Medicago truncatula: one gene and its partner. The protein of the gene in region 2 binds, or shares a complex with, the protein of the main gene of each other region. Links are inferred from orthologs where the notes say so. Each region holds a gene or a part of one and is shown on either strand. Other genes may lie near its edges.

Evidence for each region. Proteins that work in one complex are often made in the same cells at the same time.
Region 1: ribonuclease E/G-like protein, chloroplastic (region 2) and rho-N domain-containing protein 1, chloroplastic share a complex: the UniProt entries of both Arabidopsis thaliana proteins name them as parts of the chloroplastic degradosome-like complex. The link is inferred for Medicago truncatula from reciprocal best matches to the Arabidopsis thaliana genes RNEE/G and RHON1.

The regions. Positions count from the first base shown.
Region 1 is NC_053042.1:34,467,002-34,474,330, reverse strand, and holds the start of rho-N domain-containing protein 1, chloroplastic, read left to right. Parts: upstream 1-4,224; 5' UTR 4,225-4,313; coding exon 4,314-4,353; intron 4,354-5,934; coding exon 5,935-7,010; 3' UTR 7,011-7,329. UniProt on the Arabidopsis thaliana protein: Binds to and supports processing of specific plastid RNAs. Associates via its C-terminal Rho-N domain to single stranded regions of 16S and 23S rRNAs or to rbcL mRNAs. May be involved in targeting transcripts to RNases such as RNE or RNase J.
Region 2 is NC_053046.1:30,752,784-30,760,114, reverse strand, and holds the start of ribonuclease E/G-like protein, chloroplastic, read left to right. Parts: upstream 1-4,289; 5' UTR 4,290-4,495; coding exon 4,496-4,590; intron 4,591-5,543; coding exon 5,544-5,650; intron 5,651-6,439; coding exon 6,440-6,621; intron 6,622-7,001; coding exon 7,002-7,254; intron 7,255-7,320; exon of another isoform or gene 7,321-7,331. UniProt on the Arabidopsis thaliana protein: Involved in intercistronic processing of primary transcripts from chloroplast operons. The endonucleolytic activity of the enzyme depends on the number of phosphates at the 5' end, is inhibited by structured RNA, and preferentially cleaves A/U-rich sequences.

The sequences.
Region 1 (7,329 bases), on a different chromosome or scaffold from region 2:
CCATTCCTTGTGACTATTTTATCTACTTCATAAAGGTCCAATTTGAGACGTTTTTTAATTAGGGGACGAAAATGAAATCCAAAAATAAGTTAAGGGACCAAAGCATGTATTAAGCCAAAATTATAATATTTGCTTGTATTCTTTTGTCCCTGAAAGCATTCCTAATACTTTGTGGGTGTGTTGTTACTATAAGGGAAATGTTAACTAGTGCCCGCGTGAGCACTAGTTAAGACCTTAAATGGTAAACTTTTATGAAAGTTAGTGTAATCAGTGTATTGGAAATTGAAAAGTTTGTCAATTTTAAAAAATGATTATTTATTTATAATGTTTAAACCTTAATATAATTATCTTTGCTTGTTAAAAAAAAAATTAAGCTCATAATTCTTATGATTTATGATTTTTTTTCTATTAGTCACCAATTAGTTTTAAGTAAATTATAGTTTAATCAGTCTTCATGAGCTTAACTTAGTTGGTAAGGACAATGCATAATATATGCAAGGTTCGGGTTCAAACCCGCCACTACCAAAAAAAACATTATAGCTTAATCGAACACAAAAAATTAACTCTTTTGCTATTTTGCTTTATTTCTCGAGAACTTCTACGGTACACTCGTAAATTGAGGTGTACAGGTACTCTTGCTTCATAAATCTATAAACTAACGATCAATTTTATGAAATAAATAGTTATTTGTCGACATTTATATTTTAGAAAATATGATTTCAGAAGAAAAACGCATCATTCATTGTTTATAAGAATCATAGTATTTTTTTTTTACATATTATCGTATAAAATAATCAAAGTTCTCTATTATGAACGATAAAAATTTAAAAAAATTATTTCGTTTACACTAATTTTGATGAATAAGATTTAATCATTATAATTATAAATGATAAAAATTAATATTTTTCTTCAAAAAAACAACTCATTTACCTATAAAATTGAAGGGTTGGTGTTCAGGAGAATTTGCCTTATTTCTCTCTCATTTTCTCCTCCCGGCCACTACTTGAATTAGATAAAGTGAATAAATTGAGGATTGATATTTCAATCGGTTATTACACATCTACATTTCATAAGAGCAATCATATTTGAACATTCATTCCATGATAACTTTAGTCACAACCTTGTTTTTCTTTCTTCTTGTTAGTAAAAAACAACGGAGAGAGAAAACGGAAGAGAGAGGATAAGACCATGAGTATGAGAGAGAAAGTTGTATAAAAATTATCATAAATTGATCGTACAAATATCATTTCTCATTTCATAAACACAATGCATTCACATGCTGAGCGAGTAAATAAAAAGGAATAAGAAAAGAGTTTTGTTCCAACAATGGTTTCGAGGCGGACGCAGATTCGGTACCTTATGGCCAAAGCTTGTTACACCCTCGATCTCACCGTTAAGCTCTCTCTCTCTCTTTCTCTCTTTTCTTTTCCTTTCCGGCAAATTCTATGGTACACCCAAAAATTTGAATGTACCGGTACACCAAATCGATAATTAATGATCAAATGAGTTGTTGTTTTTAAGAAAAAGAATTATTTTTTATTATTAACAATTATAATAATTAAATCTTATTTAACAAAAGCTTCGACGAAATAATTTTTTTTTTTTTTGAATTTTTATTACTTATAATAAAGAATATTGATAATTTTTTATGAAAAAAATGTTAAAAATTCAATATGATTCTTATAAATAATAAAATGATTTTTTTTTATATGAAATGATGTTTTCTAAAATATAAATATTGACTAATAACTTTTTATTTCATAAAATGATCTTTAATTTATAAATTTATAGAGCGAGAGTACCGATACACCTCAATGTAGAAGCAACCTTCCTTTCCCCTCTTTTCAATTTTACATTAAAAGTTCTATAACATTTTGTGTATTTATTCGCTTTGATCGTATTTGTATGGTAATTATTCATATTTATTGCTAAGTTAGTTATGGTTTGTTGGAATCTATATATAAATAGGAAATTAAAAAGATCGAGAAAGGATGTCCTGCAAAATTCAAACATGATGAGAGCTCTAATTTTTTCCGAAAGGAATTCTTTAATGGAATAGTAACCCGAACTTAGGTTAATGATTTTAGCGGCAAGCTCTTAAGCTGCAAAAGTTTGGTTAATTCTCATCATGCTATTTTTTTTTTTTGTCCTTCGATGTATTTTTAGTTTTTACAGCTTCGAAATATTGTAACCAAACTTTATCACAGCATTAAGTGAAAGTTTCCACAAGAGATATTATGATCTTCCGTCGTATATTGGTTATGTTTCTCGACTCCTTAATTTCTTCTAACATTCAGTGCTCCCAATTCAAATGGCAGGAAGCAATTGATAGTCGAACATTTGGTCCAATTCACATGAACAAAATCGTTGGCAGAGTCCTATACTGCATGCGAAGTGCTGTAGACCACAACCGTGTACTGAACAGGTAACCACATTTCTGAGATTAATACATTGTGCACAAATGGAACTGGTTCTTTTGATTATTGATATATTTTACTCTTGCCAGTAAGGAGAGCATGTTCTTTGATTCGCCAGTGTTGGAAATGGAACATGATGTTGATGAGATGGCAAAAAGTCACAAAGCCTCTGAAATTCAGTTCTGAGAAGCACCAACTTCTTGAGTTTACCTGTCCCTCTATTTCTTTTTATGTATTTTACCTGAAGCAAGAATGAAGAATAAACATATGATTTTTAAATTGTGGCTTTGTAATTATTCTTGAGTTCAACATTGTGTCAGAAAATTGTTGCTACTGATTACATTGACAACTAGAGTACAAATGGCTAACATTGCTAAACCACTCCCGAGAAAAAATTAATTCCCTCCAATAAGCCATTAATGTCGGCAACTCCTCCTGCAACGTAAGCTCGATAAAAACAAACCATTTAAAATCATGAAAGAATTAGAGAGCACTAATGAAACTTAGATCACAACAATAGCAGAGAGTACTAATGAAACCTAGTACTAAAGAAACATACTATTTGCAAACACAGATTACAACAATAACATTGTGCAAGAGTTTTTCCTCTTATTTGTTCTTATCTAGGGGCAAGGCAGTTCATTCTTTCATGGAAATCAGTGCATATTTTGCTACTGTGTTATAATCTCTCTTTTCTGTCAACAAAGGATGATGCCCTACCAATTAACTGTCTGACTGCAGCTTAGTGCAGTGTAAACTGACAATAAAATCATCTGAAAACAATTTCGTCAGCAACGTGCACAGTCCCATCTGTCGAAAGGCCGCATCATAGCCCTTTTCCTCACTTATCAAGCCCCATAAGAGTTGAGATGTGAAAATAGAGAAAACATGAGACAGACAAAATTGAGAGGATCCATTTCCACAAGGATCCAAGCTCATGTGTCTTATTTCCTTCAAGAGAAAGGTCTTTCAAAGTCTTAAGCAACATAACATTTTCTCAAGATTCAACACTCCAAAACAAGTATAAAAAAATAACAATAGGCAGCATTCTACTAATACGATCTTATCAACATGTTGAACACTTGTAATTTGATAGATACCTTAAATAAACCATTCTCTCTGTACCTGTGAAAGTTGTTCTTGATTCTGTAGGGTAGTGGGGGTGAATGCAGAATGATAGCTACCATTTTCCTTTCCCTGCCATTTCCTAGAGCCCAAGCTAATGTTATCTTATAATATTACAATCACAAGGTACATATAGTCATATAAATTAAAGCTTCTTGTAAAAAAATAAAAATAAATTAAAGCTTGAATTCTACCAAATTTAGTTTGAAGGGAAGTGTATTATTTTATATCATCCCTAATTATAAGATCATTTAAAAAAAAATGTTTTGTCCTCAAATTATAAGTTGCTCTATAAATTTGTATGGAAAAATCTTGTTTATAAAATAAAGTATAATACGATGTTGTATTGACCATATAACACCAACTTAGAAATTAGGTGATAGACTCATCATTCATTTCAAATTAGATGATATACTTCATTTATAAACATAAAAAATAATACAAATAATACGATGTTTTTTCGTATGTTTATAAGTCCTTCTATAGATTTGTATCATATTATTTGTATGCATTTTTTATGTTTATAAATGAAGTAAAATACGATATTATATTTGATGTACTTTATCAATTTGAATGAATACATATTATTTTTGTTTTTGTAAAAAAAAAAAAAAAAATTAAAAATAAGATGATGACAGTTTTGCCCCTAACATAAGAACATATTACCGAGAACACCCCTTATCAAGCGAACTAAAACCTACAAGAAAAGAAGAGAAACTGTGAGAGTGTTCTGTGTATCCGTCTCCCAACACAACAAAACAAAACAAAACAATGTCGCAAACCGTTCATCTCGTCGTCGCCAACAACGTTGGTTAGTATCTCTCTTCTCCTCTTTGATCAAAACTGTTCTCATATTAGTTTTGGAAAAACCCCTTCAAATTCTAAAACCCCTTTTATTTGATTGGTTTGAAATACAAATTTCACACTAGGGTTTTAAAAACCGTATGTTCAATTGGGTTTATTTTCTTTGTTTTTTCAATTAGCTGTGGCTTTCTCATAGAAAAGCTTCAAACTTTATTGGCTATTATTTTCTGGGTAAATCATGTTATCTTAGTGGGTTGAAGTTTTTTTTTTTTTTTCTGTGACCAATATTTGACATATCAATGACCAATTGTATCCTTGGTGTAGAATTTTAAGATGTAGGTGCAACATTACTTGTTATTAGAAATGCCCTTTTCTCTAGTTTAGGTTTTTCACTTTGTTTTGAGTTTTGACTATGTTGTTTTAAGTTTTCTGAAGCATGGAATTCTTATATGTTACATGTTAAAAGTCAGAACATTGTGGATGATTATGATTAAAATTTGGGTAAACCAACACTTGGGTCCCTGAATGTGTGAGGCTTTGTCACTATAGTATAGTCTATGAATCTATCGAAATTGCAAACACATCCACAAACGTCTCTTTTATTGTTGCATGTTTCTGGGTAGCCAATTTAGTTCTCAAATATATTTTTCATTGTTCATTTTAGTCCCTAAACTTACTTACAAAAGAGGCATCAGAGATTGTTTGTAATTACAGGACATTTAGGCTTTGTTTGGAGGGTAAGGGAGAGGAGGGGTTTGGAAAAAAAAGAAAGGAACAAGTAGAAGAAATAGACGACATTGAGAAAAAAATTTCTTCATAATACAAAATCTTCCTCATGTGGGGGAACTCAAAAATTGTATTGCTGGAGGGTTTTGGAGGGTTTACATGAATTCTTCAAATTTAATCTATATAGTTATGATATTCTTAAAATTAAAAATATATTAATCATAAGTATTAATTTATCATTCTCTAAAAAATTATTCTTTCAAAAAATGTAAAAGATTTTACCATTTTTCCGTATATTTCGAACCTTCCGAAGCCTTCCCCTCCCCTCCAAACTCCCAAACAAACTAATAGTGCATCACATATTCTAGGACCAAAATGGTGGTTTACCCTTTTTAGTTAAATAAGTCTCTACCATTCATTTATTTTAAATAATAAATCAATGGTGATAAAAGAGGATAACCGGTGTGCCCTTTACGATGGAGTGCATTTTAGATTGAGCCTTCTTTTTGTAACACATTTTAACAGTAAAAAGTAGATACTCAAAGTTCAGCATGTAAATTTAAAATATGTTTTTTGTATGGATACTGCATATGTTTTTTATGACCCTTAGAGGGAACCTTACCAAGCTGGATTTTTTTTTCTTGGATGATTGAACCAATTTAAATTAGCATGTTAATCTATAAGCTGCTTGTAGATTCAGTTTGCTCCCTATAAACTATCTTGATGTTTATCATAACTAAACCTACAGGTTGATAGTTTGCTACCATAGGGCACCATGTTTTGTATAATTTGATGTCTTCCTTTACTTTTTTCGTCCTTACACGATTATCTCTGGTTGTTGAGTTGGTTTGATATATTTCAGGTTGTGGAATGCCAGAAGACAAGTGTTTCCCGTGTTCACGTGGTTTTGGAAGAACAACTGTTGCATATTCATGCACTTCTCTAGGTCGTCGTAGAATTCATTCTCATGCCAAAATTGGAGGACTAAAGTATGGTTCAACGGCTGCATCTTTTGTATGTGAAGCAAGGAGGAACTCAGATTTCTCAAGGCAAAACAATAGGCATGGGTCGTCAAGAGGCAGAAATAGGAACGATGATGGGAGAGATATCTTTGAGAATTTTGAAGAAGAAGATATGTTATCTTCAAAAAATGGACCATTAGTATCGTATAATTCAGGGAAATTCCAGGCCACTTCATCCCCTGGCCCCAGAGAGAAGGAGATTGTTGAATTATTTAGGAAAGTTCAAGCTCGGTTGCGTGAGAGGGCCGCTGTTAAAGAAGAAAACAAAGTTGAAACACGCCGAGGGCATGTTAAAGAGCAAAGTGCTGTAGATTCCCTCCTCAACCTATTGAAGAAACACTCTGTTGAGCAAGGAAAGAGAAGTAATGGAGAGGACAATGGAAAAGACCTTAACTCTGACCAATCGCAAGAAAGTAACCAATACAATGGAAGACAAAACTCTAAATTTTCTGATTCAGGTGCTCCAAAGGGCGAGTCTCGAGAAGCCGACGTTGCTTCTTCGGCTCGGCCTCGGTCAGTTTTCCAAAGAAAGTCTCCTGTTCCACGTGTTAGGTACCAGCCTGTCTCTAATAACGTGGCTGATACTAATGCAGTACCAATAGGTACTGAAGATAATGAGAACATTCATGATCAATTAGATTCGAAACTTGATGACGAGCCAGAACCTAAATTTGAGTCTGACATTGATCTTGATACAAAGGATGAGACGTCCGTCCCTGAATTTTCAGATGATGATTCTGATGACTCTGAACAAACCTATAATAATGAGGGTGTGGATGAGCATGTAGTGGTTCAAAATGAGGATTTGAATGCACTGAAGATGTCTGAATTAAGGGCACTTGCAAAGTCTCGTGGCATGAAAGGGTTCTCCAAAATGAAGAAGGGAGATCTCGTGGAGCTACTAACTGAGAACTGATTCTGAGTAAACGGTACGAGAAGGAAAAGGAGTGCTAGAACGGATAAACAAATTTCATGATAAAATATATGTTTTTCCTCTGCTTTTAACCTGATGCTTCTTTTAGTTCTTTTCTTTTTAGAATTTTTTTGATATAAATATTCCAATCCAATTACCTGGGTTTGAGTGTTAGTGGGTCATTAGAGTAATCCCCGTGTCTTTGCCTTGTTGGTTTTAAAAATTTGTAGTTTGTGTTCACATTCTGAGATATGTGAATTATTTTCAGTGACTCAATCTTGTGGCTTGTAGTAATTACTCTTATCAGGCTAGGGAATTTTAC
Region 2 (7,331 bases):
AAATGAAGAAGTAACAACAAAAGAACATCATCAAGCTGATCCGTAAAAGAACAAAAAAGAGTCACAAATTCCATTAATATATATATATATATATATATATATATATATATATATATATATATATATAAAACCAATGAAAAATATTTGTTATTGCTACGTAATAAATAATGATGAAAATTTCATCAAAAAATATTCTTAATAATTTACATGCATTAGTTGGCCCTAGTTTTTTTAGTGAGAGAAACTCCACATTCTCTCAAAATTCTCTCTATTTCACTCTTTGAGCAGGGGTAGTTTAAATCATTTTTTGACCCAGAATCACCCCTATTGAGGAGGGGCACAAATTTGTTATTGATACATAAAAAAATATTGTACAAATTATTTCTATTATTTTACGGGGACAAATGTTTGTCGATAAAAAATTATTTAAAATTAGTGTTTTAGTAATATATTTCACAAAATAAAATCAATTATAATATAACAACTATACATTAATAAGAGTAATTATTGTTATATTAATTATAAATTAGTGCAACATATAATTAATTTTTCAAATCGTAATATGATATTCAAATTCAAACAAACAAACACGCTTCAACGCACAACCTAGATATATTGCTAGTAAAGAGAAAAATCAAACCTATAATATTATTTGAAATTTTTTGCTAGGGAAACATGTTATGTTAGGGTTTTCACCCTTGCATCAAGGCAACCTTCTATTTTGATTGATCCCATTGGCCATTTGCGCTTTATTCGTGACTTGTACCATACTTGCATCTTCCAAAGAGGATATCTTGTTAACTTTTCTGGTAACAGTGGATGAAGTATGAATGAATTTTGTATTCAAATCTCCATCTTGATACCAACTCGTATTCACTCGTTGCTCCCAATACAAATCCTCTTGGACTAAGAGACGTGACATTTTCTTGTGCAAAGAATTACAATGACCAACATCATTTGTACTACTATCCCAATTTAGCTCCGCACGACATTCCTCAATATACGTCTTCAACTTGTTACAATGAGTTTTATTCCAATGTACCACCAAATCCTCGTCACATCCTTCCAACTGAGGGGGTTATATTGCGATCAAGATTATCATGCCACTGTTGTTTCACTACCTCGTTCAAGTTGGGATCAACTCTCCATGCATTTTAGAACTTAAACTTGTGACAAGTCATTCTAGGCCGTGTGCAAGGAACATGATGAAGTAGAATTGAATATTGATATGAGGCGAGAGTAACCAAATTTTCTAATTGACCATTTAGGAACAATTGGTAGTAATCTTTGTTTGATGTTGCTCTGTCTAGTCGTTCATCAACAACTCTATTAGTGGCTAAACTTTTGAACAATGTGAATTATAGCCTTCCGAATTAATATCAAGCAACCCAGCCTCATGGAGAACTTTTTTGAATTTGTTCATTAGCCATTGAGGTCTCCTGGTCATGTCTTTCTCTACATGTGCATAATGCCATTAAAATCATCTATCATACACCACGATAATGCAGAGTTTCACAACATCTGCTTAATAAAATCCAAGACTCATTTTCAGGCACTTGTTGTTGTCATCACCATCCCTATTCACACTCATCATATTGAGACAACACAAAGTGATCAAGATGGAATAAACCACACAATATCAATGGAATAGAACAAACGATTAGAAAACCAAACTCTCACAAGGATAACAAGAATGTCACTCAAAATTGGAAAAACATCCTTAAATCCTAGTAGAAGAAAACCTTGTTCCCCTAAAGCCGATAACCCAAACAAAATCTCACGGTTGTCTGGCTTAATTTCCAAAACTCTCATCAGTTTTTTTAACAAATCAAACACACATTTAAATAATGCTCCCTCCCTCCCTCTCTCTCTCTCTCTCTCTCTCTCTCTCTATATTAATTTTTTTTTTTGTCTAGTAGCCTAGTGGCTGGAGCTCATCACCTTTTTACACCCTTCTCTGATCCTTACACACTTAGTTTCGAGTTCAACCCTAGCGCGCCGCGTTCACTTAGTCGTCGAATATTTTTATTAACGTTGACATTAAAGTATGCAAAAATCTGTAATAGATAGATTTTAAGAGAGGTTTTGTGGTTTAGTTGATAGAAATTGAGTCTTATAGCCAAATGATTAGCTTAACTAGTTATTTCATTTTATGAACAAAATCTAATCTAACCTAGCTGAAGCTTTTGAATTCTAAACACCTTCAGTTATTGTTTGTTCAATGTGTAACTATTGAATTGATATATGAAACAAGGCAAGATTCTTGCTCACAGTCACCACCGAGAACACAATTGTACCATAACGCTTATTATTCTTCACTAATTGTAGCAAATAGTAGTTAGTTGTTGTACTGATCGGTCGTTATTTTGACCCATTTGCTTAGACATGTAGCTTACATTAATCACGATATGTATTGATGGGATGGTTGAAGATATGACATTGATTTTTATTATGATTTTATATTTGAAATATGATATGCACATTCTTTTTAGTGCTAATTGTTTCTCTCATTTTGTTTGTCTTTATTGCACTTATCTGTTAAAATATTGGGACATGCATATATTCCATCATGCACCACTACACGGAGAATATAGATTCATGTGTTGTTTGAAGAACCATAAATCAGTTAGAAGATTAGCTTCATTCACAACAACGCAAAAAGGTAATTCAAACATCTTTTTGTAAGCTCTTGTTCATTTATTTGTTTATGACTTCATTTTTTAGTTATATGGCTATCTCTTTTCCATAACCTAAATATTTCATGCTTTAACTTGTTTTGCTGGATCCTTATCAAACAAGTGAATTGTTCACGATTTAACATCTAAATATGCAACTTCCAGTTGTATTTCAGTAGAATCTGATTTGAGTTTGGTTTATCTCATGAATAAAGGACCGAAACTCAGCAACTCAAGAATTGTATTATGTTTTTTGTGTAAAAGTTTTTTGTTCTTGATAATACAATTCTTGAGTTGCTGAGTTTCGGTCCTCAAAAATACAATTCTTGATAATCAACAACTAACTATCATTATCTAACTATCAAGAATGGTATTATGTCTCACCACCTTTTACTTTATTCATTTGTACTATATCATTATCTATCACCTTTTACCCATCAGTTTTCCTTAGTTTTTAAATTGTTTTTCAATTAGTTCTAAAGTTTTTTTTTTTTTTTTGAGAGGTAGTTCTAAAATTGTTAACTATTGAAAGTAAAGAATCAAAATAATATTAATTACATTTTTAAAGTTGGTGATCGATGTGAATCGAAAAAAAAAGTTGGTGATTGACATTTTTAATCAAAATAGTATTAATGATATTTTTAATCTAAATTATCAATTCAAAATACTTTAATTAGTAGTTTAAGTTGAATATAGGCCAAACACCTTCCAGGTCTTTTAAGTTTCATATTTGTTTTAGATAGATCCTTTAAGTTTTTAAGGTTTCAGATATGTTTTTTAAGTTTGGAGTTTGTTTCGGATAAGTCCTTTAAGTTTCGAGTTTGTTTCATATAGGTCATTTCTATCAACCTCCGTTAAGCCAAAGTTGATTTAATAGAAGGGACCTATCTGAAACAAATTTGAAACTTAAAGGACTTATCTGAAACTTTGAAAACTTAAAGGACATATCTAAAACAAACATGAAACTTAAAGAACCCATGAAAATATTTGATCTTAAATATACTACTTATACTTTATTGTAAAATTCATGCATGAGACAAATGTTCCACTGAGCTATACTCACGAGATCTTCACTTAACTACTTTAATAACTACAATTAATAAAAATATTCTGATAAACTATTTTAATTTTACTTTTAAAATTAATTCAACTAATCATTTTCTTAAGAACGAGGATTAAAATGAGACGGAGAAAATATTCTAAGTAGCCTAAAAATCGTTATCTTGTGGTTGCCTCTCGTGTCACGACCTCCTATCATATTTTGGATCCGGATTCCATAACTTTAGGACGGGAAGAGTCATGTGACTTTGCCTTGATTTCCATCCTTAGATTAATCACATGGTGGATATTTTGACATATGTCCGATCCATTTTTGTGTTAAAATCCGTTCCTCAACAGATCCATCGCCGCTTCCAAGAACCACCGACCTTCAACTTGTCGTCGACCGCCACACACCCACCGTCCTGGTTGTCGAGCGCCACCCTTTTTAATCAAAATCTTAAACCTCCATTTTCATATAAAACACTGCAGAAAATCCAAACGATAGAAGAAGAGGTCGATAGCGGAACGACAATTAACAACATGTTGAGAGGAGGAAGAAGACGACAAATACTACAAAAAAGTTGAAACATGTGTCAAAATCTGAACCAAGAGATTAAACCAATGGTGGATATTGAACAAAGTCACATAACTTTTCCCACCCTAAAAGTTATTGAATCCGGATCCCTATATTTTATCCAAACCTCTTCATTTCTTCACACACTCCACTCTTTGTGCTAACACAAACTCATGAACTCGTGTCAAATTCCATTGTTGTCTTCATGTTAATGGAGTTTATTGCTGAAGTTGGTTTTTTGCACCACCCTCATCACCTTTTCACACCCTTCTCTAATCCTTACACACTTTCACCAAAGAGGTTTGTTTTGTTTCTCTCATTCTCAATTTCTTATTGCCATTTTTTCATCTGGGTTATTGTACCACCATGAAAAAAATGTATACCTAATTCATTGCATGTGCCTTTTGTACTTTTTATTATTTTTTGGCTATGATGTTTTTAATTTTTTAATTTAGACGGAAAAATTGTTCCTTTTCACCATTTTGTTTTGATAAAAAGGGTTTTTTGAATTTTGTTGTAATTGTTGTTTGGTAGAGAGGGTGAAATTATGCTGTACTATGTTTCATGATATAGTGGCAGTAAGGGTTTGTATTGTGGATTGTGAATGATTGGCACTTCCCTCATTTTTGTTGTATGATGAAGATTTGAAGGGATTTTGTTAAGATTTTCAAGGTTTTCGAGTTCAACCCTAGCGCGCCGCGTTCACTTAGTCGTCGAATATTTTTATTAACGTTGGCATTAAAGTATGCAAAAATCTGTAATTGATAAATTTTTAGAGAGGTTTCGTGGTTTAGTTGATAGAAATGAGTCTTATAGCCAAATGATTAGCTTAACTAGATATTTCATTTTATGAACAAAATCTAATCTAACTTAGCTGAAGCTTTTGGATTCTAAACACCTTCAGTTATTTTTTGTTCAATGTGAAATTCTTGAATTGATATATGAAACAAGGCAAGATTCTTGCTCACAGTCACCATCGAGAACACAATTGTACCATAACGCTTATTATTTTTCACTAATTGGAGCAAATAGTAGTTAGTTGTTGTACTGATCGGTCCTTATTTTGACCCATTTGCTAGACGTGTAGCTTACATTAATCACAAAATATGTATTGATGGGATGATTGAAGATAGGACATTGATTTTTATTATGATTTTATAGTTGAAATATGATATGCACATTCTTTTTAGTGTTAATTGTTTCTCTCGTTTTGTTTGTCTTGATTGCACTTATGTATTAAAATATTGGGACAGGCATATATTCCATCATGCACCACTACATGGAGAATATAGATTCATGTGCTGTCTGAAGAACCATAAATCAGTTAGAAGATTAGCTTCATTCACAACAACGCAGAAAGGTAATTCAGACATCTTTTTGTAAGCTCTTGTTGGTTTATTTGTTTATGACTTCATTTTTTAGTTACACGACTATCTCTTTTCTATAGCCTAAATATTTCATGCTTTAACTTGTTTTGCTGGATCCTTATCACAACGGAGTTGTTCAAGAATTAACATCCAAATATGCAACTTCCAGTTGTATTTCAGCAGAATCTGATTCGAGCTTGGTTTATTACATGAATAAAGGACCGAAACTCAGCAACTCAAGAGTTGTATTTTGTTCTTGTACGGATAAAATTACATTTTTATATCTTGTCCTCTGTAGTTAAAGAAAATTAAAGTATTACCCTGATGGATTAATAATTTAATAAGATTCCATTGATATGTTCATAACAAGCAATGCAACATGCCACTTATTACTTCTTTCAATTTTTTGAATGATTCGAACTGACATTATGAATTGTGAACAATTTCTTCATTTTTTAACTAAATGAAGCAGGAAGTCGACTTATTTTAGTTTAATTCTATTGCACAGCTAAATGCTGCAACTAAAACTGCAACGACTTTCTTCATGGTGTTAGCTACATTAATCGTTAATTTTTTTTTTAATTCTCTTCATTATTCTATGAGGCAAGGTTACTTTTTAATTCTGCAATTTCATTCACTATCAAATAAGGCATCTTTTAGTAGTATGAGTTCTGTACAGATGCAAGTTTTCCTTTTGGCGTTAGTGTTCCTTACCATGCTTTCTTAATGAAATTTGCTCTTGTTTAGAATGAATGATGAATCTGGCCTGCCTTATTTATTAGGAAATTCAACCACCAGTGTTGATGATCTATGCAAGATTATTTGGACTGTAGAAGCTGATTTAGAAGATGGTCATCTCCTGTACATAACTGGGGACCCTGCTGTGTTAGGCTGCTGGAAACCCAACATGGCTGTACTAATGTCTCCTACGGAGCACACTAATATTTGGAAAGCTGAATCTCAGGTAATATCACTGGGCTGTCTGTATATTTATCTAGTTGTACTGAGCTGAGTTTTGAATAGGGTTTTGTACACCAAGTGAAACATATAAAGCAAACCTACAATACATTGTCAATGATATAAAGAAATCTCCCATGTTATAGAAGAGTTGTGCGTCTAAAGCTTTTTTTATCTCCGGAAGGAAATCCGCAACACTGTAGTATGTATTCTATGGTAAATGATAGGAGGCTTGTTGCTACAAAATTATGCATCTGCCAAATCATAGTGCTCCTTTCATTAAAGTTTAGATTATTATATGAAAGCTTCAATATTCTTGAAATACCGTATAAACGTCAAAAAAAAAAAAAATCAATACAAGTGACTCGGTTGTTATTTTCCTTGCAGATTGCTTTTGGCTTGAACTTTAAATATAACTATTTCATTAAGGAAAAATCAAGGTCCTCAAGTGACATTATTTGGAAGCCTGGACCAGCATTTTCTCTTTCAGTACCTCTCACAGCTCTAGCAGATAATGAAATTGTGGTGAGGGATTTATGGATTAGGTCCAATTTCCATATTTCTTCAGCTCATGCATGGAACCCCTGCACTGAGGAAACGTATCTTCTAAAGCAGCCCTCTATTTTTTTTCCAGTCAAAGGTATTATTTGATATTTTTACACTACTCCAGAAATATGTTTTCCTATGTTTCTGAACACTCAAACAGTGGTTTGACAG